Linked DNA regions of Notamacropus eugenii. The protein of the gene in region 2 purifies or fractionates together with the protein of the main gene of each other region. This does not show direct contact. Links are inferred from orthologs where the notes say so. Each region holds a gene or a part of one and is shown on either strand. Other genes may lie near its edges. The genes, in order: ACIN1, CAMKV, TCOF1 and GPC1.

The links.
Region 1: the proteins of CAMKV (region 2) and ACIN1 purify together in Homo sapiens (affinity purification with mass spectrometry; 3 studies listed by BioGRID and IntAct, counting the BioPlex papers as one, with this or other methods). This does not show direct contact. The link is inferred for Notamacropus eugenii from reciprocal best matches to the Homo sapiens genes CAMKV and ACIN1.
Region 3: the proteins of CAMKV (region 2) and TCOF1 purify together in Homo sapiens (affinity purification with mass spectrometry; 3 studies listed by BioGRID and IntAct, counting the BioPlex papers as one, with this or other methods). This does not show direct contact. The link is inferred for Notamacropus eugenii from reciprocal best matches to the Homo sapiens genes CAMKV and TCOF1.
Region 4: the proteins of CAMKV (region 2) and GPC1 purify together in Homo sapiens (affinity purification with mass spectrometry; 3 studies listed by BioGRID and IntAct, counting the BioPlex papers as one, with this or other methods). This does not show direct contact. The link is inferred for Notamacropus eugenii from reciprocal best matches to the Homo sapiens genes CAMKV and GPC1.

The regions. Positions count from the first base shown.
Region 1 is NC_092878.1:10,066,957-10,074,025, forward strand, and holds the start of ACIN1 (apoptotic chromatin condensation inducer in the nucleus), read left to right. Parts: upstream 1-4,058; 5' UTR 4,059-4,078; coding exon 4,079-4,216; intron 4,217-5,508; coding exon 5,509-5,574; intron 5,575-7,069. Other genes in the region: C7H14orf119 (uncharacterized protein C14orf119 homolog), read right to left, coding at 1,379-1,798.
Region 2 is NC_092872.1:5,862,331-5,869,785, forward strand, and holds the start of CAMKV (caM kinase-like vesicle-associated protein), read left to right. Parts: upstream 1-4,260; 5' UTR 4,261-4,328; coding exon 4,329-4,423; intron 4,424-5,028; coding exon 5,029-5,160; intron 5,161-5,719; coding exon 5,720-5,794; intron 5,795-6,407; coding exon 6,408-6,546; intron 6,547-7,311; coding exon 7,312-7,432; intron 7,433-7,455. UniProt on the Homo sapiens protein: Does not appear to have detectable kinase activity.
Region 3 is NC_092872.1:378,240,391-378,247,938, reverse strand, and holds the start of TCOF1 (treacle protein), read right to left. Parts: upstream 3,007-7,548; 5' UTR 2,875-3,006; coding exon 2,767-2,874; intron 1-2,766.
Region 4 is NC_092873.1:53,653,934-53,661,879, reverse strand, and holds the start of GPC1 (glypican-1), read right to left. Parts: upstream 3,156-7,946; 5' UTR 2,849-3,155; coding exon 2,686-2,848; intron 1-2,685. UniProt on the Homo sapiens protein: Cell surface proteoglycan that bears heparan sulfate. Binds, via the heparan sulfate side chains, alpha-4 (V) collagen and participates in Schwann cell myelination.

The DNA.
Region 1 (7,069 bases), on a different chromosome or scaffold from region 2:
CTTTCGCCTATAGTCACTAGGTCCCTGGAAGGTTCACTTTAATGCCACCTCTTACAAGAGGCTTCCCCCAACTGTCCCCAGTAGTGTCTGGCCTCTACTGACTGTGCATGTTATATCCTTCCCACTCTCCCTAAGAATCTAAATTTCTCAAGGGTTGAGACTTGTGAATTTTTTTTATCTATTTCCAAATGCTTAGAAAAATCCCTGGCAAACATTAGGTTCTTAGTATCTTTCCTGATGTGGGTTTGAACTCCTTTTTTGAGCACTTCGTCATAGGTTCTGGATCAACCTGCAGCCTTGAGGCCACAGGTTCCCCACCCCCGACCAAGAGTAACAAGAATGCTTTTCCTCTGTCACAAACCGATGGGGAGGAAAAAAAAACCTGACACTGGGTCACAGTTCAGAATTTCATTCAAGTGGAGAAAAAAAAAAGATGAAATCTTCAGTCACAAAAACTTTACAGAAGTGGGAGGAACCACCAAGAAGATAAAGATGGATTATACCTAGGATTCCAAGCTTCTGCTTGGCCTTGGCTATGCTCCCCTTTACCAGGGCTCTAGTTCAATTCTATATTAGGTCCTAGAGGGGAAAAAAGTAGAGATCATTTAGACTAACAAGAGCATCCTTTTATTCTGGTACAAGCACCTGTAGGCCAATTGAGGGCAAAGACCTTTTGTTTTGTCTCTGTATTCCCAGCACCTATTATTTCTTGAATTACAAAAATAAACTTTCCATCCCATAGGACGGGACATTTGCTATCATAAACTTGGTAGAACTAAGTTATGAAATAAGAATTCTTGCTACTGGCTCCAAAAATACTATGAAACTTTGATAAAAACCAGGGCTCTTAGGCTTGGCAAATAATCATCTGTACTCTAGCCCTCCATCTGACTGACCCATTGATACCCTAACACTTAGCTTACAAACCACACCAGAGCAGGGTCCAGGAGATCATTGCTCCAGATTTAGCTAACTCTTTGAACTGATACCCTGTTGATATCTTATTGCCTGGAGCTTGCTCCCATAGCAAGAGCGTTTCACTTACTCCCCAACCCTTCATCCTCTCCAATGGACCAACTCTAGGGAGATCTGGGTTTCTCATATTTCAATTCTTTTGAGAGACAGCTTGCAAAGGAAGTCAGCAGAGTCATAGGAATTTTAGGGTTATGTGGAAGAAGCAAAATAATAACCAATGACTTGGATTAGTTTTGTTTTTAAAACCTATAGTGATCTATAGGCTATAAGTCCAATAACAATAACTCTGAAAACAGACCTGGATGTCATCCCCAGACATTTCCTTCTCATCTGGGCACTCCCACTTCCGAAGCTATCAACTCAACTCCATCAGTCGTATTGTCTTTTATGATGCTGACTCCTCTTAGTCCTTACCAGCTGTAGCAGCTACCGCTTGATAAAACTTTGCCACAAAGTCTGGCTCACTAGCCTCCAGCTGTCTGACAAACTCGTTGCGCTCCTCCTCAGCCCAGCTTCGGAACCACTGATCCCAGAGTCGAAGCTGGCAATCAAAGATGCGTGGTGGTTGGTCTGCTCCAGAAACGCTAAGCTGTTCCAATCCCTCTAGGAGGGGCTGCAATTTGCCTGGCACTGCTTTAGCTACCAAGTCCTGTAGGAAACACTCACGCTGGGGATCTGACCAGCTGGCAAACCAATGTAGGACACACTTCATCTCCTGTGAAGTGAAGTAAGACATGGAAAGGAAGGAATAATTGTCTGAAGTAGAGGCTAATGTGGAGGAAGAGGATGGGGATATCCAAGAGGCAGCTGACTTCATCGACATCCTAAGGATAAAACAAACGAGTTTTACAATGGATAAAATCAAGATCTCCCTGAGATCAATGGCTGAACAGTTGACACATGGCTCTTGGCACAAAACTCAGCTATTCAAGTACATAAAAAAAATTATTTTTCCCACTTTTCTATATTTTGGAAGATAAATAGCAACCCTTTCTATTCTGTCTTCCCCAAACAACAGTACTACATTGAGACAGTTTGCTTAAAATAATTTTATTCCAAATCTACCAACCTTACTCCTCACCTCTTCAAATGCAGAGCTTCCCTTTGGGATCTAATCCTTGTAATAATCACCAAAATAACCAATATCTCTCATTCTTCCTCTTTCTACCTAAGCCTTCCAAAGCTGGGCAAAGGCAAGAAATATATTGGTCTAACTTGTCTCCTCTAAAATGAATATACATTTAACAACAGAATTCTTTTGTATAACAAATATAGCTGCACAAGGCTTTGAGCGCTTTGGACACTGAATAAGGAATAATGTTGAAAGTCATCACTAAATTTAATGTTGAAAAGAGTCTTTCTTAAACTACAAACAGTAACTGATGCTTCATGCGGGACCCACCATCTAATTAGTTCACTGTGAAGCACTTGTTTCATTTTACAACTAAAAAATTTTTAAAACAGAGATATAAGGGACTCACCCAAAGTCATGCAAGAGAGTAGCAGGAAAGTTAAGTCTTGTGTTCTTTGTCAAAAGTTCAGGACAAACAGTATGGTTGGTTTGGTGGGCCAAGCATCTGGAAAGATGTAATGGATACTTATATTTTTACTCATTATATATTACTCATTTCTCATTTTATTTTTATGTTCATTACTCATTATATACTTACTTCATACATATATATACACACATACATAAATATATATATTACTCATTTTACTCATTGTACCCATCTCCTGTTACTCCTGTCACGTTACCGACAAATACCTGAGCTGTTGATTTTATGCTGGTGGTGTGAGGCTATATCCACTTTTACCTAAGTTATTTTAAATCCCTTAAATATGAAAATATGAAACTGCTATCCATCCAGGTAGGCTACAGTTTTTTCCGAGCAATTCAACAGTCATAGTGTCCCTCTTAGATACTGTTTCTTCTCCTGACAAATGTAAAAGACATGTAGCAACTGCAGTCAATGAATGGAAAAAGCAAGCCCTGGCTAAATTAGCACCAGCAGAGCTAGCAGCAGCAGCAGCAGCAGCTACAGTCTTACTACTCTGTCTAGGGAGGATCCCCAGGGACAGGGAAGCAGGGCAGAATGCAAACTTAGCTCTAGGAAGGAAGACTGCTACAATGTTGCCACAGGTGTCTTCCTAAGGTTGACATTGAAGTACAGGATCGCTACCTCGGGAGTTCAGGAAAACCCACTTGTCTGGATCATCCGAATTGCCTAGTTCTAAATCCTGGTCACAATGCACAGAACGGGGGGAGGGGGGGTCTCCGCTCCTTTTAGCATGCAGGTTAATAGTGCAATCTGTGGGCATTAAATATTGGAAAGCCAATCTGCCCTTCAGACCAGATGTGGAGGGAAGGCTGGACACGGGATGGGGTGGGGTTGAGGGGGTGAGCGAGGAACTTCGGATCTCTGAAGTCTGGGCCCCAAAGTTCCCACACGGCACCCCCGGTAGCCTCCTCACTAGATCCAGAGCCGATGGGAGTGAGGGTGGGGCCGGTGCTCGGATAAAAGGTAAGCTGGACCGAGGGAGGCGGAGGGGCCTCCGCCTAGCTTACCTCCTTATTGTCACCCCGGGGGACCCCAGAAGGAAGTCACAGGAGTCCGTGGGTTCCGGCTACCTCTACACCTCCATGTTCCCAGCAAACCCCACTGGGCAACCCACGCACTTCCGGACCTCGGACAAGGCCCCGAACTCCCCCAGGCGCCTCGGCACCAGTAAGCCGGACCTTATTTCCAGAGCCGTGGGTCCGGAGAAAGCCGAATGCCTCCGAATCCGGTTCTGCCAGGGCAGAGGGTTTACGAGTGCAATCTAGTTCTGGGCTCGGTGGGACGGAGACGTCCGAGCTCCGAAAGGAGAGCGCGGGGGGCGGAGCTTACGGAGAGAATGGAAACTGCGGATTGGTGCTAAGGTGGGAACGGAAATACCCGAGCGCTCTCGAGAAGGCTGAGCGTTCGGATCCGAGGACGGGGAGGGGGAAGGGTTGGCCGTGGCGGTGGGCGGGGTCGGGTCGGCACGTTCGAAGGGCGTTGGCGGAAATTACCGAAGATGCCCGAAGCCGTCGAGACGGGAGCCGAGTACCTCACACAAGATGGCGGAGCTGGAGGAGGTGACTCTGGACGGGAAGCCGCTTCAGGCGCTGCGAGTGACCGACCTGAAGGCCGCACTGGAACAGCGAGGCCTGGCCAAGAGTGGACAGAAGAGTGCCCTGGTCAAGCGGCTCAAAGGGGTAAGCAGACTGCGTCGCAGGGGCGTCGGAGGGGAGCGGACCCGGTAGAGACGAGCCGCCGCCGCGGCGCAGGCGCAGTCCCCGGGCTCGCGCGAGCTCGCTCAGGCCGCCGCGCGAGCCTCGGGATCCGCGCGCGCGGTGGTTGGCGGGGCTCGCGCCGGAGGGAGCCCGTGCCGGTTCCCGCCTTTAACGGCAGCGGCGCGAGCCCGAAACGGGAGGGTGCGCGCCGCTCTCCCCAGAGTGTCCTGCGCTTCCTCCTCCCCCACCCCCGCCTTGTTTGTGTCTGCGGTCTCGGCGCATGCGCGGCAGCAGGAGTTAAATCCCACCACCACCGGGGTTACCGACCCGTGGGAAGGCGGGGGGGGCCCGAGTGGGAGGCGTCCTTGGGCGGGGTGACAGTTGGGCCGGGTCAGGCGGCGGGGGCAGAGGGGGCTGGCCCTGGTGAGGCCGGCCCTGAAGGGGTTAATCCTCCCGGCAGCCCGAGTGGAGACAGTGAAGTTGGGGCTGGGGGGGGGGGGGGCATTTGTGGGGGGGTCCGTTGGAGGAGAGCCTTGCCCCCCGTGGAGGAAGCCCAGCCCCTTGGGGGTCCGAGAGACCTTGGATGTGCTGGACTGGAGTGGGTGTGTTGGGAAGTGGCCGTCAGGGAGGGGTCGCCGTTAGGCCCCTGATCGATGAGGGGATCGGGGCCGGGATAGGCAGGGCGGCCCTGGCCCGGCCGGGCTCAGGTGGGCGGGTGCTGGACTGACGGCCAGCCAGGCCGGCTTGCGCTTGGGCATATCACCCCCTTAGAAAGCACCTGCTCTTGAATTCAGTCCTGTCCCACGTGGTCCTGATCTCAGAGAACTTAGGATCCATATGTGATCTGTCAGCTGTTTCTCAGAGGGGTCGGTTCTGTCCAAGAAGAGCCCTTAGGTATTCATCGGGGGCTCTTGGATTGAATGGGACTGCATGGCCAGGTTGGAGAGTAACCGCCTGAGGAGCCCTGAGGGCAGAGGAACTGAGGATCCTGACAGCTGGATCTGCCACTGACTTGGTTCTTTCTGACAGGAGCCAACCGTCTTTAGTTTATGTAGTTTTGAGTTTTTGCGTCTCTGTATGGAGGGCAGTAGGCATGGCTACCTTTAGGGTTCTTCTGAAACTGTGTGAGAACAGTATTAGTAAAGGACTTGGAAGTCCTTGAACAAGAAGTGTAATTTGAGCGTATATGGTTAGTTTTTCACTTGATAAGGGGGATGGAAGGGAGAAGGTTGGATTTTTTGTGTGTTTCTGAGTTTCTTCTGTCTTTGTCCCAGGCTCTAATGCTGGAGAATTTACAGAAACACTCAACACCTCACACTGCATTCCAGCCAAACTCCCAGGTAAGAAAAAAGTTTCATTTAATAATGGTGGGCTGTTGATATGAATGTGGACACACCAATGCCTGAAACTTGTATTATGTACCAAAATCTTTCCCAGTTTACGTAATTCTGAAATGTCCCTGTATCAAAGTTATGGGATTCCATTTCAGTCGTTTACAAAATCCTAAGGAAAAGTTATCACATGGCTTTCTGAGACTCATGTATGTGTTTAACCGAGCTGTGTTAGGAGGAACACCTCACCTCCATTGGGTTCAGAAGGTCAGATCACTTATTTTCCACAGATGAGAAAATAAAATTTGTCCTGATGACACCAGATGTAAATTTGAAATGACCACCGTTAGAATAGTTTGGCCAAACACCTGTTTAAGACTGGCAAGATGAAAAACTGACAGATTTATAAATGGTAGCCAGAACAAGATCACCCACTAACTTCTCCCCCTTAATAAGAGCCTTGTAAATCACTTAGATTTGAAGAAGTAAGTTTTAATCCTTTTCCTTTTAGATATAACTAATTGTGACACTGGCCTTCTGGGTGTTCCAGGAATAAGACACTCCATCCTCCAGCTCCAGGCATTCATTCTTTCTGGCTGTCACCCATGCCTGGAACACTTTCCCTCCTCCCCTCCAACTGTCAACCTCTTTGGCTTCCTTTAAGTCCCAGCTAAAACCTCACCTACAAGAAGCTTTCCCCAACCCCTCTTAATTCCAGTGCCTTCCCCTTTTTAATATCCCCTATTTATCTTGTATATAACTTGTTCTGTATATATTTGTTTGCACGTTGCCTCCTCTAGTAGATCCTTGAGGGTAGGTACCGTCTTTTGCCTCTTTTTGTATCCCCAGCTCTTAACCACAATCCTTGGCACATAGTAGGAGTTTGATATTGTTTGATTGGTAACGTGACTTTGGACAAGTCACCGAAGCTATCTGGGTCTCCAGTTTTTTAACTTGTAAATTGAGGGGAACTGTATTTAAATTATCTGTATAGTTCCTTTCAACTCTGATAAGTCTCTGATTCTGTAGCAAAACATTAAAGGACAAACACATCCAGGCTTCTCTTATTTTGAACATTGACAGTTTTGCTATTAGATTAGGTCCCAGGATACTAGGGAAAAACAAGCTCCACAGAGGCCCCACCTTTTCCCTTGTTATCTCCTCATTAAGCCAGACAGTTCCTTAATCCTGCCAGCTCATAAAGCTTTAGTCCAGGTACTTTAACAAACCCAAGAAACTGGCCCAAGCTAAGCCATGCTCAGTGTTGTAGTGTTTCTAACCTAGCACTTCTGTTCTTACAAACATGGGCTTAAATTCTTTATAAACCTTCTGATCTGAAGTCTCTACCTGAGATCGAGGCCTTGTGAAATATTAAGCCTTATAAGAACAGGCTTGAAAACACAGTAGTAAAAGCACATACTTGGTTTTTTGTTTTGTTTCTTTACTGAAGTCATTATTTTTTACTCTAAAAAAAGGTTCTTACAAGGTAGTAGAGGAGCAAAGG
Region 2 (7,455 bases):
ATTCTGGCCTGGTAGGTGCCCCAACTTGTATTATAGTGGCAAAATGGTCCCCTGGTTTAGAATGAAATCTATCATGGTTTTTTCTTCCTGAGACAGAAAATGGAGCACCATCTGAATTCACTTTTCTTCCTGGACCCTTGAGAAACCCAGTCCATTGTTGGTTTGCTGCTTTTTATTTGCTGAACACTCTCCTCTCTGTCAATCCCACTGGCTGTAGCCCTGAGGCACTGTTCAACCCATTCCACAATAAAGCTTCCGAGGGGACCTTCATAACCCTTTCATATCCGTTGTTATTAATTATTGTTATTAATTACTATTTCCATTTTTAAAATGAGGAAACAGGCTCAGGTGGGTAGAAGCATTTATTAAGTGCTTACTGTTCGCAAGGTTTTGTACTAGGCTGTTGTTGGGTTTTTGTCCTTCATTCTCAAAGAGAACCATGACATCAGGAAGGTGACACCATAACTTACAAATGAATCGGATTGAAGTGAGGAAGGGCTGTGCAAAGACACCAGCCTCACATTAGGCACCAGTAACAAAACGATGAAAATGACACAGGTCTCATCCTCCTGTGCAGGGCATGATTAAATGGAGCACTAAGTAGCATGTGACAGAGCCAAAAGGAAACTCTTCACAAAGCACTCAGAGAATACCAGAGAGTGAGATGGTTAATAAATGACCAAAGTCCAGGTCTGTGCTTTTGGTTATATCTCAATATGGTGTGCTCTGTGCCCGGGAAGGCACATTGGAGATTAAGAATCAGTCAGGAGACAGCTAGGTGGTGCAGTGAGTAGAGCACTGGCCCTGGAGTCAGGAGGACCTGAGTTCAAATCTGGCCTCAGACACTTGACACTTACAAGCTGTATGACCTTGGACAAGTCATTTAACCCTGATTGCTTTGCCTCCCCACACCAAAAAATTAAAAAAAAAGAAAAGAAATCAGCCATTCAAACTGAAAAATGAGAAGGGAATAAGTATTTATTAAGCACCTACTATGTGCCAGCTACTGATTACTCTTACAAATATCATCTCACTGTAATGTTATTATCTCCATTTTATAGTTGAGTAAAGTGAAGCAGACAGGTATCCTGGGTCACACAGCTGGTAAATGTCTGAGGCTGGATTTGAACTCAGGTCTGTACTGATTCCAGGTCTGGCACTCTATCCACTTTATCAGCTGCTTCTGATGAATGAAACAATCCTTACCCTGAAGGAACTTGCATTTTCATGGAGGTGACAAGTACATATATAATTATATGTGGAATAAACATAGAGAGAATAAAGACAAATAAATAGAAGTTAGGTACAGTTTGGTTTGAGAAAGAATAACTGGGAGGATAAGAAGGGAGCACTGAAGCTGTATGTGAAGGAAGAGGAGAATTGTATCAGGTGGAAGTGGGGAGGGAGTGCATTCCAGGTGTGAAGAATGGCCAGTGCCAAAGCTGAAAGGCATGGGATGTAAGGCTGTGTGTGAGAAACAGAGAGAGAGAGAGATCAATCTGGCCACATAGTGGGTGGGGCAGGGGGGAAGAAGGGGAATGTCCAACGAGATTGGAAAGCTAGGTTGAGACCAGCTCATGGAGGTCTTTAAAAACCAAACAGAAGAATCCGATCTTGAACCTAAAGGTAATAGGGAGCCATCAGAGTTGACTGAGTAGGAGAATGACATAGTCAGACCTGCCCTTAAGGAGAACCACTTACTAAGTGGTATGGAGGATTAACAGGAAGAGGGGAGAGACTTGAAGCTAGGAAACCTGTTATATGTAGGAGTAAGGATTTGGGTTTCAAGGGTATCTGGCGGCTCTAGGAATAGAGATGTCAAGGTGGGGAAGACAAATTACAGAGGCTCTAAGCTTCCTTAACTCCTCTCCTCCCCTCCAGACAGAGGGGCCGTCTGACAAGCTATGGGGAAGAGTCTCTAGACCTTTTCTACTCTCCTGATGATGGATCAAGAGAGCTAAGATGCTCCCTCTTAGCCCCATTCAGAGTCAACTGGGCCTGTCCCCAGGAGATGGGGGCATACAAAGACTCAGGACCTTGCTTCTTCCTTTCTCTTGGGCAAGAGTACTAAGGAGACATTCCTTTAGTAACGGACAATTCATTGCTTACCTCAGAGTTGCTAGACATAGATTGAGACATCCTAGCAAGTCAGATGTGGAAGTGGGGAGAGAGAATAACTCCCACTTTAATGGAAGGAGAATGAGGCTTGTGTTGCTGACTCCCCTACCTACTTCTGATAGTCCTTCACTATTGCAAAGGTGATCAATATACTAATTGTGCTGAGGAAACTGCCCAGAGAGCCGTAGAATCTGTGTTCCATTGGGAACAGATTCTCCCCACGGGCCCTTTTACAGCAGTGCTAGAGGGAGTAATAGGAGCCTGAGCTCCCAGACATAATCCCTGGGCCCAATCCTGAGGGGGTGGCTAGACTTGAATGGGGCAAGGGTTTTGCCCCATTCCACCCAAATTAAAATTGGGGCAAGGTCTTCTAAGCTCTCTGTTGCAAAAATGTACTTCTAGCTTACTTGACTATTGCCATGTGTAAATTCATTTGTTCAACAAACTCTTCATTAAGTATTGACTATGTACATGTTCTCAAGGTAGGTCTTGGGCAGAGACACAGATATATTTTAGAGCTTATAGCTTAATAGGGAAGGTAAGACATGTAAACATAAATTAATACAACTTATCATGTGATAAGTATAAAGTATTATTCAATCAGATGATCTCAGTCATTTATTGGACGTATGTCTTATGTGAGGGGCAGTCATGTGCTGTGGATAGTTAGCTGGCCTTGGGGTCGGAAAGGCCTGGGTTCAAGCTCTACCTATTACACAGAATGACTGTGAAATTGTGGGCAAGTCACTTAACCTCTCAATGGCCCTGGCAGCTCTTGCAGAAAAGATACCCGTCTGTATTGGACAATGAAAGTCTTCACTGCAGTTTCCCTCTGTCAATGAAACTGTAGGTCAGGTAAAAAACATGTATTATGTATTTATATCCCATGCAACAATTCAAATATTTATCAAAGGCATGTTGTGTACAGAGACTGGGGAGAAATACAGACTTTAGAGAAGACTGTCTATGAAATGAACCTGGCATTTGCTCTCAGAGTGTAACCAGAGGACAGGTCTGACACACCGCAGGGCACTCTGTACAGAACCATGCACAAAGAGCTGTTTGAAAAGGTGACCTTGTCTTATTCAATAGATTTGTTCCTGAAAAAGTTGCATATAAATAAAATTTATGTAAATCAAATCCTATTTTAAACACTCCTTTAAAAAAGCCTGGGAGTGGCATCGTAGAAGCAGCTCTGACATCAGAGGACTGAGTTTGAATGTTGGCTCTGCTACCCGCCAGCGCCTCTCTGGGGCTCCGATTCCTCCCTTGTAAATGAGGGCATTGGACTAGATGATCTAAGGTCCCTTCCAGGCCTAAAGTCTGTGATCTAAATCCAGACGGAAACAAATCCTGCAAATTGAAGGCCCTGTGAAACAAACCCTTTCTAGAAGAGAAAAATCAAGCCCCAATTTCCTTTGTAAATCTAGATGAAAAATCTGCAGGCTGCTTAACTCAGGGCCCAAGGGGGCAGGTTTCTGGATGGCATTTGAGGCTCAGCTGATTTAGGCCTGGGTGGGCAGTGTGGTCAGAGGTGGGAAGGAATGGGCCCCAGCTAAGCAGGTGCTGGGCTGCAGGCAGGGTTCGGGGAAGGAGTCGAACTAGTCTCTGAGTCAAAAATACATTCAAGTCAGACTTCTGGGTTGGGAGTTACCAACTCCTATTTCTGGGTTCTGCCCAGCCTCAACCTGGCAGAGATAACACACTTCTCAGAATTAGCATGTTGCTCAGAGAAAAAGCATGCTATGGTCAGAAGTAGCCTTGGAGTCAGGAGCTGTGGGTTCAAATCCACACTCAGATGTGTATACACTTTGTCTTGTCCCTTGACTTTTCTGAGTATCTGGGTCCTCAGTTATAAAATGGAGATAATGATATTTACAAGACTTGCCTTATGGGACTGTTTTTTTGAGGAGACAACTCTGCAGAGCTTAAAATGCTTTGGAAATGGAGATTATAGTTATTATTAGAGAGCAAATGGAGGAACAGGCCTGACCCAGAGAGGGGAGAAGGAGGAGAAGAAGCAAGCAGAGTTCTGGGTTTGGGAGACATGGCGTTTTTGTCTGGACAACCATGAACTGGCAAAATGGAATTGGTGAAGGGATCTGTGGGATCACCCCTGCTTGAGCCTAAGGGAAGGTGCACTATGGGTAGGGAGGACCCCATTCTCAGGAAAACTATGCTTCTGTCCTTCCTGCAGACCGGGCCTGGCAATGCCGTTTGGCTGTGTGACTCTGGGAGAAAAGAAGGATTATAACCAGCCATCTGAGGTGACAGACAGATATGACTTGGGGCAGGTCATCAAAACGTGAGTGTTGGGCCCTGGAGAAAGGGAGCAGGGCATCTGGGAGGGGTAGGGTACCAGTAGGGAAAGAGGAGAAGTAGAAAAGAGGGATGTCATCTTGGTGGGGAGAGAGAGAGAGAGAGAGAGAGAGAGAGAGAGAGAGAGAGAGAGAGAGAGAGAAGGAGAGAGAGAGAGAGAAGGAGGGAGGGCGAGAGAGAGACAGAGAGAAAGAGAGAGAAGGAGAGAGAGAGGAGAGAGAGAGAGAGAAGGAGGGAGGGCGAGAGAGAGACAGAGAGAAAGAGAGAGAGAGAGAGAGAGAGAGAAGGAGGGAGGGCGAGAAAGAGACAGAGACAGAGAGAGAGAAAGACACAAAGAGAAAGAGAGAGAAGGAGAGCGAGATTGATTTGAAATCAGAGGGTCTGAGCTCTAACTCCTGCTCATGTGTATGACCTGGGACAAGTCACGCCATCCCTCTAGGCATCTTTTTCCTCACCTGGATAATGACATGGGTTGGACTAGATCTCTACGATCCTTCCAGTTCTAAAATCATTCGATCATATAATCGTGGGGAAGGGGGCGGGAGTGGGGGTGGGGGATGTACCCAGGCTAAAGAGGGCCCTGGGCTGCAGGGAAGAGTTCTGCGAGATTTTTCGGGCCAAGGACAAGGCGACAGGAAAGCTGCACACCTGTAAGAAGTTCCTAAAGCGAGACGGGCGGAAGGTGCGCAAAGCGGCCAAGAATGAGATCGTCATCCTGAAAATGTGAGTGCTCGGCACTGACCTCTCAGCCCGGCCCTGCAGGTCAGACACCCGGGGGTGGGGGTGGGGGTGGGGGTGAGGGTGGGGGTGCGGCTGGAGGTGCGGCTGGGGGTGAAAAAGAAGAAGAGGAAGGCAAGGGAAGGGAGAAAAAAACGGAGAAAGAACAGAGGCAAGGAGAAGAAAAGACATTGTGAGTGAGAAGGCATGAGAATGGAGGTGGTGTGTGGGCAGGAAGGAGAGCTTTTCCCTGGCTCCAGAGGGTCCTCAAGCCCAGGTCTGTGACCCCTTCACTCGCTCTGGATGGCTGGTCACTGCCCCTGGCACCTGGTGGTTTTTGGACCCTAGCCTCTCCTGTGCCTGCCTCCCCATCTCCCCTTCAGAAAGAAGAGCCCCAGACTAGCTCCCACCCCCAAAATCCATTGGAGAAAAACAGTTCAGGGCCTTTCCTGCCTCCTTCCTGTTGTGGAGAGATCTTATGTCCATATATGGATTGGATTGTGGCTTTGGAGGCCCTTTCCAAATCTGAGATTCTACAATTCCTCACTCCCATCTCTGGCCTTAGGGTGAAGCACCCCAACATCCTGCAGCTGGTGGACGTGTTTGTGACCCGCAAAGAATACTTCATTTTCTTGGAGCTGTGAGTAGGGAAGGAGGTAGAGTCTGGGGTTCCCAATTATCCACCCAACCTTAGCTTAGCCCTGAAATCTTCCTGTGCTCCATCCTTCCACAGCTAATGTCCTCCCCCCACCTCCTGCCCAAAGGCTGAGTTTCAGTGGTATGAGAGCTCCCTGGAAGACAAAGTAAAAAGCTATCCCTAGATTGGCAGTGCCCTAGAGAGAACCTCATCCTTCTGAATTCTTTACCATTTATACTCTGCCAGCTCCCCAAGAGGAGTTCCAAGATCCTGCCTTTCTCCTGGAGAATGGTTGGCAGGCTTTCTTTTCTGGCATCTGTGCCCCTTTCTCCAGCTCTCTCTAGGCTCCAACACATGTGGGAACTTCTCCAGGTTAGCCAGCCTCCAAGCTCATTAAGATCTATAGAATCTTGGGTCAAACTGGGAGCAGCCTAGCTAGGGAACACATATTCTAGCTCTGGCATCAAAGAAACGCCTCTAGCCACACACCCAAATACACAAAGTGTCCTCCCAGAGTCTCCAGTCCATCCCTGTCCCTTGGTCTACTATGTCCAACTGAGGAGGTATCTCAGGAAATATATGTGGGGGAAAGGGCTTAAGTTTCCTTGTCCCACAGGGCCACAGGGAGGGAAGTGTTTGACTGGATCTTAGACCAGGGATACTACTCAGAACGAGACACAAGCAACGTGGTGCGGCAAGTCCTGGAGGCTGTGGCCTACCTGCACTCCCTGAAGATTGTGCATCGAAACCTCAAGGTGTAGCCCTGGCCCAGGGTGGAGAAAGGGACTGGATGGGATGAGTGGCTCGGGGCTGGGGAGGGGAGTTGTAGGCAGTTCTCCCTTATCCAGGTTTCCAACATCTTCTCTATAAAATATCCAGGGAAATTTGTAATCTCTGGTTGACTCTCCCTTATACTGAGCCCTGCCATCAAGTAGTGGGTACCTGGGGGGACGTATGTGATTTAGCCTGAGCTGAAGTAATCAGGAAAGCTAATTACTGGGAGTGGTATGCATTTAGATAACAAATAAAAAGGATATTCAGAAAAATTAGTGAAACATGTTTGGGAATTATCCCTTAGTTTGGATTATGGAGGTTCCTCTCCATTTACATAAATAATTGAGAGCTGGCTCTATAAGGAAGTGGGATTGGGGATTTGAAGGCCCTAGAATAAAGGTTCTAGATCTGAAAGACCCCTAGATTTGGAGTCTGGGCACCTCAGTCCCAGCTCTGATCTTTCCTTCTTTTGTGACCTTCCATATCATACCCTCTCTGTACCTCAGTTTCCAACTCTGTAAAATGATGATGGGAGGGAGGAACTAGATAATTTCTAAATCTACCATTCTACTAAATTCAGGGCAGGAGGAAGGGAGGAAGGGAACTGTAGCTGGGGTGGAAGACAATGTCTCTGGCAAAGAGCATAGTGTTCCAGTGGTGCAGGAAGGGGTGGGTCTTGGGGGCACTAGGTAATTTCTCAAGAGGATCTCACAGGATCTTCTCCCACTTTTGTGTTCTGGTTGTAGTTGGAAAATCTGGTATACTACAACCGGCTGAAGAATTCCAAGATTGTCATCAGCGACTTCCATCTGGCCAAACTAGAGAACGGACTCATCAAGGAACCCTGCGGGACCCCAGAGTACCTGGGCAAGGAGTGGGAATTTTGGGAT
Region 3 (7,548 bases), about 370 Mb from region 2:
TGATCAATACAAAAGATCCAAGACAATTCCGAAGGACTCATTATGAAAAAAATGCTGTCCACTTCCAGAGAGACAGAATTGATGAACTCTTGAGTCTAAAATGAAGTAGAGTTTATCACTTTGTTTTTTTGTGTGATATGGCTCACATGGAAATATGTTTTGCATGATTTCACAATTATAATTGATATCATTTTGCTTGCCTTCTCATTAGGTGGGGGAGGGGTCGGAGAGAGGGAGAGAATTTGGAACCTGAAATTTAAAAAGAAAAGAATGTTAAAAATAATAAATTTGATTTTAAAAAAAAAGAAGTGGGCTTTAAAGGATGGGTAACAATAGCAAGCGTAATTTATTAAGTGCCTACTATATGCTAAGTGATAAAGACAGGAAAAAAGCAAGTAATGGTGGGGGGAGTGCGACAGGCAAACAACTATGTACAAACGAGTTATATGCGGCGCACACCGGAGACAATCCACTGGGCGAAAGCACTAACATTACTGTGCACTGGAGGTAAGGGTTTTAGCTGAGGCATGAAGTAACCCAGAAAAGTCAACAAGTTGGGATAAAGAGGCTGGGGTATTCCAGGCACAGGAGACAGGTAAAGAAAATGCAGATGACTGGGAGATGGAATGTCTGGTGAGAAGAACAGGGAGGAGGCCTGTGTCCCTGGGATACAGGATATGGGATGTAGTGTAAGGCGTAAGAAGACTGTAAAGGTCAGACAGGGCCAGGTCGTGAAGGGCTTCAGGTAGCAATCAGCCTATTTTATATTTAATCCTGGATGCCATAGGGAGCCCCTGGAGTTTATTGAATGGGATGGAGGATGAGTTCAAGAGGTCACTTTGATAGCAGAATAAAAAATTAACAGATAAAAGAGGATAAAAAGAAGAAGGCTAAGGGTATGTCAGACCTCCAGAACAAGCATCCCATTCAAACAGAGCAGTAGTTCAAGTAAGTACCCTGAAGGAACAGAAGGTACATGGGCATACTTCTTCAGTAAGGATTAAGCAACTATTATGCAGCATGTATTTCCCTAGGTTCAGGGGATTTTGAGGGGGAGGGAGAGGGAGAGAGATACAAATATTAAATAGTAACTGTTTCTCTTTTACCCAGGAACCCTGAGGGTCTTCCCTTCCCAGTTTCACTTTTTTTTTTTTTTGATACAAAATAACTGGGGCAGGGAAGGAAAGATCCTAAGGAGATGGGCAGAGAAGGTAAGGGGTATGGGCTAACTGGAAAGTTCTCTCCAAGGAATGAAATTCAGGATGAAGTCCAATGCTAATAAGGGATCCTGACAGCATGGAGTGGTAGGTAGCATGATGGACCTAAGAGTAAGGAAGAATTGGGTTCAGTTCCATGTCTGACAGTTGGGGGATCATGGGCAAGTCACAACTTCTATGAACCTTGATTTCCGCATCTGTGAAATGGGACTAAAATCTGTAATACCTACCTTACAGGGTTGTTTCAAAGATTAAATAAGACAGTTAGCCTGTAAAGTGTCTTGTGAAGAGACCTGGCTTCTAGTTCCCCATCTGCTCTCTTTGTCTGGAGCTCAGATTTTTATTCTCTAGGATGAGACTAGGAAGTCTCTACCAAGGTCCTTTCTGGCTAAAACAATCAGAAAGAAACAGTTTTGGAAAACTGAGCGGGAATAAGGAAGTACAAAGGAACCAGAGCCCTTAGTTAACTACGGGGTCTTTTCAATGTAAACCTTCCTTTTACATATGAGAAGACAGCCCAAGGCAGAGGAAGTCTTATCACTTGTAAGCAATTTACCCTAGACCATAATTAAACCCCAGGACTCCACTGGGTAAAACCCAAGACCATTGCAATGCGTATTTTGGAAAGAATGTCACCAGAGAACATCCTTCCCTTGCCACACTCTTCCGCATTCAGAGAAGGGCCCTGGGAGGTAATTAATCTAATCTAATCCTTTCTATTTTACAAGTGAGAAAACAGAGTTTCAAACAAGTTAAGTAACTGATCCAGTCATACACTAAGTATGGAGCAGTGCCGGGTGTGTCTAGCCCTCAATCCAGGGCATTTTTCACTTTGCCACGCTGCAACTCAGTAGGTAAAGTTAGGAGGAGGCCCAAAGGAAGAACAAGAACTACCCAGAGATCTGCCTTCCTAGCAAAGAGAGCCAGACAGCCATGTAGGAACAGAACCTTCTCAGCGTCTCCCTCCCAAGATCTGCTAGTGATCTAGCAGCACGTGTCAGTTCCAGGAAACATGGCCAACCTTTCCTGACATCTCTAGTGGATACACGCTTCCTGTCTTCCCCTCGTGCACACGCAGGGCTCGGACACCGCTATCAGCTGCTGTAATGACAGGGTTCAGATTGGGGCTTATCCCATACATGCCGAGCAGAGTTACAGGGCAATTACCAGCCAGTTCTTCAATAGGCTTTTCCTGTTCCTCTTCACCCTGGCCATCCACACTGTCCCTCCTTTCCGGTTATCCCTCTGCCATCTTCTGCTTAGCAAGTCATTCCACAGTAACTGAAAACATGCTATCAAGTATTTCTCCAAGGGCTGAGGCCACAAGCCGTGCAGGATGAACCCAGTAAGGGGGACTTCAAGACATGAGGGCATCACGATTCTGGGCTGTCTGGTGTGACAGGCGAACCCCGGGGATGCTGCCAAGCTGCCCCCTTCTCCCAAGCCTGTCCTGGAAGCTCTGCCGGGCTCGGCAGCGATCCGATCGGGGACTAGACAGGTGGCCACGAGGGTCCCTTCCCTCCCTCCTCCCTCCCTGCCTCCTCCTCACCTGGCCGCTCTGCAGCTTCACCTCCCGCGCCGCCCTCACGTAGCCAGCCTGCACCAGGTGGTGGTGGATGAGCGGCAGCAGCTCCCTCCGCTTTCGGGCTTCGGCCATGTCTGCGAGGCTGGACAGCGGCGGGTGCTGTCGGGCCCGGACGCACGAGGACCGAAGGTTTGCTGCAAATCGGCTCCGGCAGGCTCGCGCGCACAACTTTTCCCCCTCGTCTCCGCCCCTCCGCCCTTAGACCTCACTCTACTACTTCCGACTTCCCGAGAGTCTTATCCTGGCCTTGGGTTGTGCTGGGAAATGTAGTTTCTCTGGGGCCCTGGGTTGAGGCTCAGAGCGCTCCACCCGGCTGGGGAGAAATGGGGGCGGTTCTCCGGGGACTGTTGGCCATGGCGCTCGGGACAGAACGTCAGACTTTTCCTGATAAACAGACTACAAGCTCCTTGAGGGCACGCACTGCCTTTTGCCTCTTTGTCTATCCCCACCTTTATAGCATAGTGACAGGCACTTAGAAGTCGCTTAGTGATTATTGATTATTGATTGATTGGCACTTATACTAGGTGCTTAGTAAAGTGTATTGATTAATTGAAAATAAGCTTTTATTGCTATCTTTTTTTTTTTGCATGATCATAATTGTCCCAAGTATCCTCCCTCCCAGAGAGCTATCCTCCTATAACAACAAATGGAATTTTTTTTTTTGAGAAAAAACCTGTACAGGTTGTTGTGTTTCTCCTTCGTTCTCCAAGAGGACCATGACATCAAGATGATGACATGACTTGCAGTTGACTTTCATTTGAGTGAGGGAGGGCTGTGCAGTCACCAGCCTCACTTTCTCCTCTGGAGCTATCTGGGTCCAGTGAGCTGATATTCTTCAGGACAGCTGGAGATGGCCTAGGATGCAGTGTGAGAACCTGGCCCTTTCAGGCTAAGGTCTTATCACATTCTCACTTTGAGTGAGATGCACCCATTCAATCAATAGGCTTCTTTAAGTAGTTACTCAAAGGATGGAGGCTTTAATAAAAAAAAAAAAAATCAGACTGGGAGGGAAGACCCTCAGGGTTCCTGCGTAAAAGAGAAACAGTTACTATATGGTAATTATGTTGGCTTTGTGCTAGGTGGGTGGGGACTTGTACAGTCTATAACCTCCAACTTATCGATACATTGTAAAGTCTGAAAATAAGTGTAACATTTTAAAACCTGCAGACCTCTCACCTTCATGAAGGGGTAGGTTGGGGAGTGTCCTCTCTTCTGTCTTCATTCTGAATCCTGCTGGATCTTTTTATAATTTTGTTACATTTGATCCAGATATGTGTTAGGGCAGACAGTGCTGACATGTTTTCTTCCCTTTTTTATTCTGTTATAAGGACTGTAGGGATACATTGAGAGATGCAGACAATGTAAAAACAAAACATACTAATAAAATTTATTTTTTAAATAGAGAATGGGGATTTCTATTTGAGGTGAAGAGGGGAAATGGAAGGACCCTCCTCATGCCTTATTCCCACTCATCCAGGAAACAAATGATGGGTATTGTTGATGTCTAGGAGTGCTGGGACCCAGAAATTCAAGGGCAAATAACAGGGGCCTACCTCTAATGAATTCCTCTGAAGCTTTCTTTCAGCCAGAGACAAAATTAATTAGAACACTGGTTGGGATTGGCAAGATTTTAAGAATCTGAGTCTTTCAATATCTTAATGCAAGCGGGCCAGATTCTTAAGGAATCTGAACACTTTAATAGAGGCAAGATGGACTTTTTACACAGTAGTCAAGGAGCGGGTCTAGATGGAATCAAGGAGTGGGGGTCTAGGGTGCAGACAATGAGGGCCACAATGAAAGGGCAGTTAAAAGGATTATGCTGAGAAGAGCCTCAGATGAGCTGAAGGGACCTGAGCCATGTGGGAAAGTCCAAGGGCCTTTTAGGGGTGCATCATTAGTGTCCTATCAGATATGTTTGAACTTTGAATGTCATATCTGGAAAGGATTAGTGCTAAATCAATGCACACACAGACATCATGGAATAGAGCAAGGGCTCTTAAACTTGGATCCTAAACTTTTAAAAAAATATATTTTGATAACCAATATAAAATAATTTTTGTAAGCTTATTAAAGCTTCAAATTGTACTAAGGTTTCCTGGAGAAGATGGAATTTTATTTGGGACTTAAAGGAAGCTAGTAAGTCAATAGGTGGAGTTGACATGGTAGAACACTCTAAGGATGAGGGGCAGTAAGAGAAAAAGATCAGAAAAGAGATGGAATGTCTTTTGTAGAGCAATTGGGGTCAATGTTGCTGGATTGAAGAGTATGTGCTGTGTGAGAGGGAGGAGACTAGAAAGGTAATGATGTGGTTTGAGGTTACTGGAAACCCTGAAATGTCAGGGTGCAAGGCAGAGTCTTCCTGGAATGAATTCATAGACTCAAACCTTATTCCAGTCAAGGGGCAGTCTATTGAAATGCCAGTAATGGCCAGTGAGATTCCTAGTATATCTGTAATTTAATGGGGGTGAGACTGATACTCATATACAAAAAAGGGACAGTGAAAAGATGTGGATAGGATTAAGGAGTAGTAAATAGCCTGGGGTGGCCCTGGTGGATGGTGAAAGGTATAAAGAAGTCTGGGGTGGGCCAAGAGGGACTGTGAAAGGACTGTCAATCATCTAGGTGAGCTGGACTGGACCAGATGGCTTGGGCAAGATGCCAGTGATCTGGACTGCTGAAATGTGTGAGGAAAATTCAGGGATTAGGTTGCATTCAGAGACACTGTCTTTTCCTTTTAGGGGCCCAGGTGCCATCACCCCATCATTAGGAGGAGGCAATGTTATGAAGGATTTTGAGTGCCAGACAGAGCATTTTGTGTTTCATCCTGGAAGCTATAGGGAGTCATTGGGTTAAATATAAAATTGGCAGTTGCATTTAAAACTCTTCATAACCTGTCCAGTTTCCTTCTGCATGTACTCCTTTCCACATGTTCTGGGCTCCAGCCACACTGGATTGTTTGCTGTTTCTCTGTCTCCCATCTTCTTGTCTTTGCACCCATGGTCCCCAGTGTCTAGACTGCTTTCTCCTCTCCTCTCTAATTCTTAATTTCTCTGGCTTCTTTCAAGATTCAATTCATCTTACCTTCTCCAGGAGGCCTTTTCCATCTCGTCATCTGGTAGAATTTTCTTCTCAGATTATATTTCATCTTCTCTGTATGAATCTTACATTTATCTATTTATCTTCATGTAGTCTCTCCCATTATGGGCAGCTTGGTGGCACAATGGACGGAGTGCTGGGCCTGGGATTAGGAAAACCCATCTTCATGAATTCAAACACAGCCTCAGACACTTACCAGCTGTGTGACCCTGGGCAAGTCACTTAATCTTGTTTGCCTCAGTTTCCTCATCTGTAAAATGAGCTGGAGAAGGAAATGGCAAACCACTCCAGTCTCTTTGCCAAGCAAATCCCAAACAGAGTCATGGAAAGTCAGATATGACTGAAAAATAGCAACAAAAACATGAAACCCATAAGAATTTGTATGCATAGATTAGCACCCCACCCCTACCCCATTCTATTTGAGTTTAATGGTGCTTCAGTAGAGGAATAAGACATTTTGATACGTTGCAAAGATTTAGGATTTAGGATTTAGGTTTAGCTGTGATGCTTGAACTCTCTTCCTAAGCCTTGCTTTCTCAGCACCTCAACCTGGCCAATTCCACGTGATTTGGAGAGAGCATTGTATGTGGAGCCAGAGGACCTGGATTTGCATGCTGATTCTTCTATATGAAATCTGTATGACTTTGGGCAAATCATTTTATTCAGTCTTCATTTGCAAAGGGAAGGGGTTGGAAACGGTGACTTTTTAGATCCCTTTTGGCTCTGAATCTATGATCTTTTCCTAAATGTGAGAGTCATCCTTTCCATAGGACCACAGTTTACAAAGAAGGGCAACTAGTATTTCATGTGTCTGGCCAGCCCAAAATAGTTAACTCAGATTACATCAATGTATAAACCTCTTAATGTCCTCTGAGCTCAAGCTGCTTCAACTCCTTCCCTTCCAATATTTGTGAACAGGAAGTCAATACTCCAAGTATCAAATCCTTCAGTCCTTCACATGTACAGATGGGCTTTGCCATTTTTGTTGTTCTTGTTCAGTCATTTCAGTTGTGTCGACTGAATACTGAAGTGAAACCCCAAAGGGTTTTGAGATTCTGGGAACCCCAAAATACCAACATGCCAGGTCCTGATCAAATATATTTGACCCAAGTCTAGTTTCAGCCAAAGAGAAAAACAAAGTTTATTAAAGGTTTACCATATTGGGTAGACTCCTAAGGAATATGAGCATTTGTGACGCTTGTTTTGATAAGCAGGCCAGAACAATCTGACACAGACTAAGTCTGAGCTAGATTGAATCTGAGCACCTTCATGGAAATGGGATGGGTCTTATATACAGAAAGATTGTGGGAGAGATCCAGGGGTGGTCTAGTAGTCTGGGAGGAAGGGTCTAGGGAGGGTCTTGAGGAGGAGTCTAAGAAGGATCTTGATGGGACTGGGGTGACTAAGGATCAGAAGCAAGAGAATGGGATTTTGATGGTATGGAGGATGGGAATCAGCTGGAGGCAATTGGTCAAAGCAAGAACAAAAGCCTTATGGCCTCAGAGGAACTCAAGATCAAGTGAGAAGATTCAAGAAGAGTTCAAAGGGGTTCCCCAGAGCCTGTACCCCAACAAAGTGACACGTGCAAATCATGTCATCATTTCTCTGATGTCATGGTCTTTTTCAAAAATGAAGGATGAACACAGCCTG
Region 4 (7,946 bases), on a different chromosome or scaffold from region 2:
GATGGGCAGACATTTGCCACAGAGAAGACAGAGCCTGTCCGTGCTCAAAATCAGATGGAGATGGAGTCCTATCATAGGGCTTACTGGGTTTAAAATGTGAAATCACATACACATGTCTTGGCTGAGATCTCCTTAAGCGATTCTCCACCCCTTGGTGTCTCAAGCAGAGTAGGAGCCAAAGAAAAGCCTGGATATTCCAGCTTGGAACCTATCATTAAAAGGTTTCAGACTATAAAGTATCACAGTGAAACTGAGTCCTTACTGGCCAGAAGCTTCCCATTTTTTTTTAAAGCTTCTCTCCCATAATCTCACTGCTCTCAGCAGAAGGAGGTATCTGGCAGGAGTTCTGCACACCCAATGAATAAATGAGTTCAAAGGTCAATCACCCACTTAAGAACAGACCTTCTCTTTTTTCAGTCAGAAAAAAAAAGAAAAAAAAACAACAAACAAACCAGGAATATCCTTTAAAAGCACAACACCCCAGCAACTGCATCTCCTTAAAAGCAGAGAGTGTTACATTTTTGTTTTTATAAGTTTCTCACTTTGGCACATAGTAGGTACTTCATAAAGATTTAGTGATGCTTTCATTAGGAAGATTGCTTTAATATGGGTTTTCAGTCTCATTCCATACTTGGAGGGTGACCCAACAGCTTCCATAGGAATCCAGTTTCCCCTGGTCCTTTGCTGGCCCCTATACCTGAAACTGCAAGCCAGGCCCCCAACTGGCAAAGGTCAATGAGTGGTCCAACTCCACCTTCCTGTCAGTATCCCTGGGATGGATCCAAGAGAGGAAGAAGGCTTGCAGGGGGCCTGCTACAGCCTGTCCCACTCCAGAAGATCCTAGATGTAGAATTGAAAGCGGCCTCAGCTCACCCTCTCATTTTAGAGAGGAGGAACAGGAGGCTTGAGATAGGGTTGGATTAAAGGTTCACTTCTGACTTGGAATTCCTATGATTCTTTGTCACTCTAAGGCTATTTTTACAGACTCAAAAGACCGTCAGAGATAGAACTTCAAAGGCCATCCAGTTGATTTTACTGAGGAGGAAACCCAGGCCCAGGTAAGCTAAGTCTTAAGTGTGTTTCTACCACACAGGTGGTAATCCTGTAATAGTCTAACACCTCCTCCTGAATCCCCTTCCCCCAACCAAGGACAGACACCTGCACCAACACCCTTTGGAGAAACCTGGTTTTAGCAAGTCCTTTGCAAACATAGACATCTTGCTTTCAACAGGTATCATTCTCCCATCAACCCCAACGGTCTCCTGGGAAGGCCAGCACCTCTCTCTCTTGTCCCCAGGTTAGGGATTCACCTTCTGCTTGAGCAGGAGAGGGCAGGGAGTGCTGCCAGATGCCTGTGGATGACTGAGGGACGGTTCCTTATAAAGAAGTGACAGTTGCTGAGAGAAATCCAAAGGGCTTCTCCGGCTGCAGTTAGCCAAGGCTGCTCCCTGGGGGTGGGTGGCTCTGCCTGACTCTTCGTCAGCGGCCTCCAGCCATCTCTTTCTCTCTCCCAGAATGTAGGAACTGGGCAGATGGCTCTCAGCTGTGAGCCATGAGGTTAGGAGAAAGACTTCCCTGGGACAAGCACCCCCCTGGCTGCCCACAGCATGGGAAGGGGCACTCCTTTCTGCTCTCTGATCCACAATAAAAACTCATCTGCAAACACAGAACAGAATTTCACCAAGTCTCTTTTTGCCGTTTAAAATCTCTAGCTTGGTGAAAAAACAAACAAACAAACAAAAAACAAACTGAAACGCAACAAAAACAACAAAAAAATGGAAATCCTTTATCCATCCCCGGCACCCCTCCCCGCCCCCAATCATCTCTATCTCTTGGGACAGAAGCCAGACACCTCCTCCAATGGGGGTCTACTTCCTCACTGAATCTCCATCACTAAACACGCTGTTTCCATCCCAAATCCAAGGCAGGAGAAAGCCCTTCTAGCGGTAACCTTGCCTCCCTCTCGCCCCCTACTCTCTTCTCCAGGATCCCTTTTCTCCGCGTTGTTGCTGCCCGCCTCCAAGAGCCCCATCCCCTGGGCGGCCTGAGAGCCAACTTGTCCAGGAACTGGCCCTGGCCCGGGGTGGCGGCGACTGCTGCAGCTCCGAGAGGATCTGGCCCGTCTGTTCACCGGGAGAAGCCTGGGAGAGGCCAGTCCCAGGGTCACTCGGGCTGGGGGAGGCCCAGGGACCACAATCCCCGGTGACCGACCACTCACTTGTTCGGTCTCTCTGTCTCCAAGACAAATGGCTTTTCTGCCGCTCCCATGCACTTTTCTTCCCCCCCTTTAACCCTGAGCTTGTACGGGTGGGAGCTAAGATGAGCCGGGAGAACTTTCCGAAGCGGCCGCAGTGGAGGAGGCTGGGGATGGGTGGTGGGGGTGGTGGGGGTGGTGGTGGTGGTGGTGGTGGTGGTGGTGGTGGTGGTGGTGGTGGTGGCGATGGCTGGAAAAGCCGGTCCGTCCCCTGCCCACCTGCCCCGAGGCTCCGATCGCAGGCGTGCCCCAGGGCTCTCCCCCCTCCCCCAGAGCTGCAGCGGGCCGCCTCCGCGAGTGCTGCCCCTGGGAACTCAGTCCCATTCCCCGTGCCCCCGTCCCCCCTCACCCCATGCCCCTTGGCCGGTCGCCTTGGCCGGGGTGGGGGTGGGGGCAGCTGGCGCCCTCCCGCAATGAATGGCCCCACTCACCGGAGATCTCCGCCTGGGGCACGCCGCTCAGGCTGAAGCCTTTGGCCCCGTAGACCTGGCGGACCTCGGCACAGCTCCGGCTCTTGCTGCCCCCCGGCTCCCCGCGGGCCGAGGCGGCGGCGGCCACCCAGAGGAGCCAGCAGCCCCGCACGAGGAGATCCATGGCCGGCCGGCCGGCCGCCGCCCTCCCGTCCGTCCGCCGGTACGCCTGTCCCTCGCTGCGCCCCGCCGCCGTCCGGCGGGCGAAGGGCAGAGCCAAGGTCCCGGGGCGCCGGGCTCACTGCCTGGAGGAGGTGGCCGGGGCGGGGAGGGCGGCGGGGCAGCAGGAGAGGAGGAGGAGGATGACAACAAAAGCCCGGGGCGAGTTCCCCGGGCGCAGCTCGAGTCAGGCACGGTCCGCGGCGGCGGCGGCGGCGGCGGGAGCAGCTTCAGCAGCGGCAGCCGCCAAGCGCTCGCGCTCCGTCCCACCTTCGGCCCCACCCCCGGCCCGGCCCACCCGGCGGAGGGGAGAGGAGGAATGGGGGGGTGAGAGGCGGGGGCGAGGCCGGCGCGCGGGGGCGGGGCGGGGCGGGCCCAGGCCGGGCGGGGCCTCGGATGGGCCGGACTGGGGATGCGGGGAGCCCCACGCTCCCTCCCGCCGGCCACTCGGTGTCCGCCTCCGTCCGCGGCGCTCTTTTCCTCTCTCCCTCCCAGAGAGGCGACCTCGGGCTGGCGAGGATGCTGCCGGGGATTGGGGGGGGGGGGGGGGGGGAGAGAGGGCGGGATCTCGGGGGGTGCCCAGTGCAGGGCGCACACGCGCCCGATGGATGGAGAGCTGGAGAAAGGGATGGAGAGTAGTCACGAAGGGAAGCGCGGGACTGTCTGACTCTGGGGCGGATATCAGGATCCTGAGGAGGGGGTGGCGGCCAGAACCTGGGACTGCACCCTCGTGGGGCTGGCCGTGGGGGTGGGGGACACCGAGCCGAGCGAATCCGACCCGGGGAGGGGGCAGTGCCTGCTCCCTCCTGCCCGGAGCTTGGCGCTCTCCTTCTGGGCTCAGGGCGGCGGCACTACCTGCAAAAAGGGGGCGGGGGTGAGGGGGGTGAGGGAAAGAGCGGGGTTGGGGGGGCCGAAGGAGGGGAGATTTTTTTTTTCTGAAGCTGAGGCAGGGCTTCCCCCGCCGGACGTGGCGTCATACCACCCAGGCTACCAATCAGAGGCTTCCCCCACCCCCAGCCCAAGTCAGCAGCAACACCACCCGGCGCCCCCACGTCCCCCTTCCCTCCTAGGTCGGCTCTCCAGTTAAGAGCTGACATTGATCTTTCCTTACGCCCGGGCTCCTCCATCCACGTGCCCTCCTTCACTTCTCCTCTGTCCACATCCCTTTCCTCTAGTCTTCTATCCACCACTCTGTGTCTACACACCTCCACCCACTTCTTTCCTCCTCAGGCAAACCACCCTCTTCTCAGCATGCTCTCCCCCTCTGCCTCGGTTTACGCCCTGTGCCTTCTGACCTAGGTGCATGCATCTTCCTGTCTCTATACATACTCTCTTCTCTGTTCAGCAGCCCTTTCATCTTTCTCTCCATCCCTGCTTTCGGTCCTTCACGTACGCCTCTCCCCTTTTCCATTCTACAATTGCCACACACTCTCCTTTCTTCTGCTCTCTCCTGCCTACGGATCCACACCCTTCTCCTCCTTGGTCCACACACCCTTATTTCTGCTCCTTATTCCTTCCTCCCGTCTTCCATACTCCCTTCGCTTTCTTCCTTCAACACTCTCTTATTTCCTTCCGTTCCAATACTCCTGCCCTCTTGCACCCAGACATCCTTCCTCCTTTAATTCTGTTGTCCCTTCCCCCCATCCCTATCAGAATTCAAGTGTGACTGACTATCCCTGCCCCCCACTCCCGCCGCCCCTGTTCCTCTTCTGGGCTTTCATCATGAAAAGGGAAAGGGGCAGGCTTTCGACCTCCGCCACCCCCTATCCCTGCTCCACTATCCCCCAGGGGAGAAGAAGAACCTCAACAAATAACCAGGATATAGGAGAAACACTGGACCCGTGATTTCATTAGTGTAGGGACCTCCGGGATGAGGATTCTCCTTCTGTCATCAATTCAGATCGGAAAACGTTCTGCAAGTTACTTTCTTTGGATAGTTGTCTCTTCCCCCATCCCCTAGGCACCCTTGTGCTTTAGCACACCCCTGGAGAATCTGATCTCTGGCCTCTGATGTCACTCCTGAATACCTTCCCTTACCCAACAAATCCCGAAAAGGAGGCGTGCTTCTTTGGAACATCTTAGGACCCGTTACTCCCTGCTGTGTTACCTACAATGAAGTGTGATCTCCTCGGAAGGTGGTAAACTTGGCTTTAAAATACCTGAGATAGAATCCCAGTGCTGTCACTGTGTGACCCTGGACAGATTTCTTAACTACTCTGGGCCTCGTTTTCCTCCTCTGTAAAAGAATTTCGACTAGATGATGTCAGAGGTCCCATCCAATTCTCGATCTAGGATCCTATAAGCCTCACTACTTCCCGGACGCAGTGATTCTGCTTACTTGTTGGTCTATGGATCTTGCGCTACTGTTCCTCTATTTACATGTCTTTAGGGGAAAGGGATCGGAGTCACTACCTGCTCCTTGACTAAGTCAAAAGGGGAATGCTGTAAAGGATGTTGGGGAGAAACCTAAGAGAAGGAAGACTTTGAGACCTCCCTCCCACTCCTCCTCCCTGTCCTGCCCAGTCTGAAAGTGCAGAAAAGGGCCTGATCCCACTACTGACTGGCAGGTGATCTTTGACTTACCTTTTTTGACCTGGGCAGGTCACCGTCCTAAGGTGCCTTGCATCCCTCTGAAGATGTCTCAGAAATTGACATTCAGCATAAGGGCTATTGTAGGTGATATGGCATAGTTGACAAAATACTGTCCTAAAGTTAGGAAGATGAGTTCAAATCCAGCCTCATATACTTACTAGCTATGGCAAGCTGTTTAACCTGTTTGCCCCACCTGAAAAATGGATTCATTCCAAAATACCTGGAAAGAGAATGTCCAGCCTTCACTTGACCACTTCTAAAGAGGGGAAATCCCTCTACCTCTGGAGACAGATAATTCTACTTTTGGAGATTTCTGTAAGAAATATTTTTCTGACATCAACCTAAACTTATATCTTTGCAACATTAACTCCAAGTTCTTCCTTCTGGGAACTATATGGAAAAGGTAGAAGACAGGGAAGAAATAAAGAAACCTGAGGTTTTGAGCCTGTATAATTGAGAGGATTGATAGGACCAAAGCCTGGGCTTGTAAATTGATGCTTAATCTCTCTGTGCTTCGATTTCCTTGGCAGGGGAATGAGTGGGTTCGACTCGATGGCCCCTGGCACCCCTACCTATTCTAGATCTATGACCCTAGTATGCTTCTCCATTTTATTTTCATTCAGAGACGATGATCCCCAGCTTAGGATATTTAGAATTTAATGCAATTCAAGAAATAGCCGTTTTATACCTCTTTTAGGTGACAGCCCTTCACATATTGAAGACAGATATTACTCCATCTTTTGCATCACTTGACTGAATCTTCATTTCTTCCGGCTAAACACTAACTGTTCTTTTTTCCATTCCACATATGGCATCATCTTTGGGTCTTTTACCGTTCTGGTTGGCCAATTTATCAGTGCCCTTCCTAAATTGTGGTGCCCAGGATAATATCCCAGATCTCATCTGACCAGGTCAGAGTGGCAAAGGGAAAGGAATACATATTTATTAAGCATCTACTATGTGCCAAGCACTTAACAAATGTTATCTTGTTCAATCCTGACCACAACCCTGGGAGGGTGGTGCTATTATAATCATCCCTGTTTTGTTTGAACATATCTTCCATATTGTGCTGTCTTATTGGTTTTTTGACCCCAGTGTAAGACTTTGTGTTTTTCAAAATTACAAAAGTGTAAGATGACATTTTACACAGACATTTGTCCTGTGGTACTTCTCCCACTTCCAATTTTTTTTCAAGAATCTTGATGTAAGTACCTTTATAAGTTCTTTCACTACCTTGGTATACAGTTTTATTTAGAAATCTCATTCTTTTTGTATCCCCAGTGCTTAGCACAGTATCTGGCACATAGTAGGTGCTTAATAAATGTTCATTGAGCCACTCATTCAAAGGAACTTGGCATTTTCTTACTCTAGCTTTGTTTATCTTGGGTCTCAATTCCATGTTCATCAAATAGAAAGTAAGCTTCTTGAGGGCAGGGATTGTTTCATTTTTATCTTTGTATCCCCAGTGCCCATCCCAGCATAGTGCCCCAGCATACAGTGCATGCTAAATATTTGTTGAATTGAATTGAACTTTGAGCACCATCCTTCTTGGAAAATAAAATGGAAACCTACCAGGGTCACAGATCTAGAAGTTGTAGGAATGACAGAGCTCACCTAGTCCAACCTGCTCTTTTTACTGCTGAGAACAGAAAAGGGTGGATAGAGCAGATGGAGGTCTTGGTGAGGATAAATAATTGGTATTGGAGATATGAAGGAGAAGAAGAGATTGAAGGAGAGGCAATGGAGATCAAAGAAAGGAATTTTGAGAATTTTGGAGACAGGTGAACTGGAAAGCTAGGGTGTTTGAGAAAACATCAATATATATGTGGAAGTCACCAAGTTTGCAGGCTGCCTGAAAACTTGAACTAGGTTGGTGCTATCCATGGTTGAAAGTACGGACTGGATGTGGGAAACATTGCAAATCAGAACTGACAAGACTTGGAAACTGATTGAATGTAGGGGGTGAGGGAGTCAAAGAGGATGCTGGGATCTCAAGGCTGTATAATTGAGAGGATTGATAGTAACAAAGCTTGGGCTTGGGGGAATTGTTGCTTAACCTCTCTGGGCCAATTTCTTTGCAGTAAAATTTTCTCCAATTTGTCTCTAATGTTTTTTTCTTAATTATATTTTCCTCCTCTTACTCTATAAAGACAGTACTTTTTAATTACTTTAATCTGCTTTAAGATGCGGAGGACAGGAAAGGTTTCATGAAGATGATGTCATTTGATTTAGGTCTGGAGGGAAAATATGGAGTTCAACTGTCAGAGGTAAGGAGGGAGAGCATTCCAGGTAGGTGGTACAGTCAACAAAGGCACAGTGATTAGAGATGGGGCCTCTGTGTGAGAGATGTAAGTGTCAAATAAAGGAGCTTATGTTTGATCCTTGAGACAACAGGAAGCCACTGAGGTTTGCTGAACATGAGAGTGACATGATTAAATCTGAATTTTAGGAAAATAAATCATTTTGGTGGC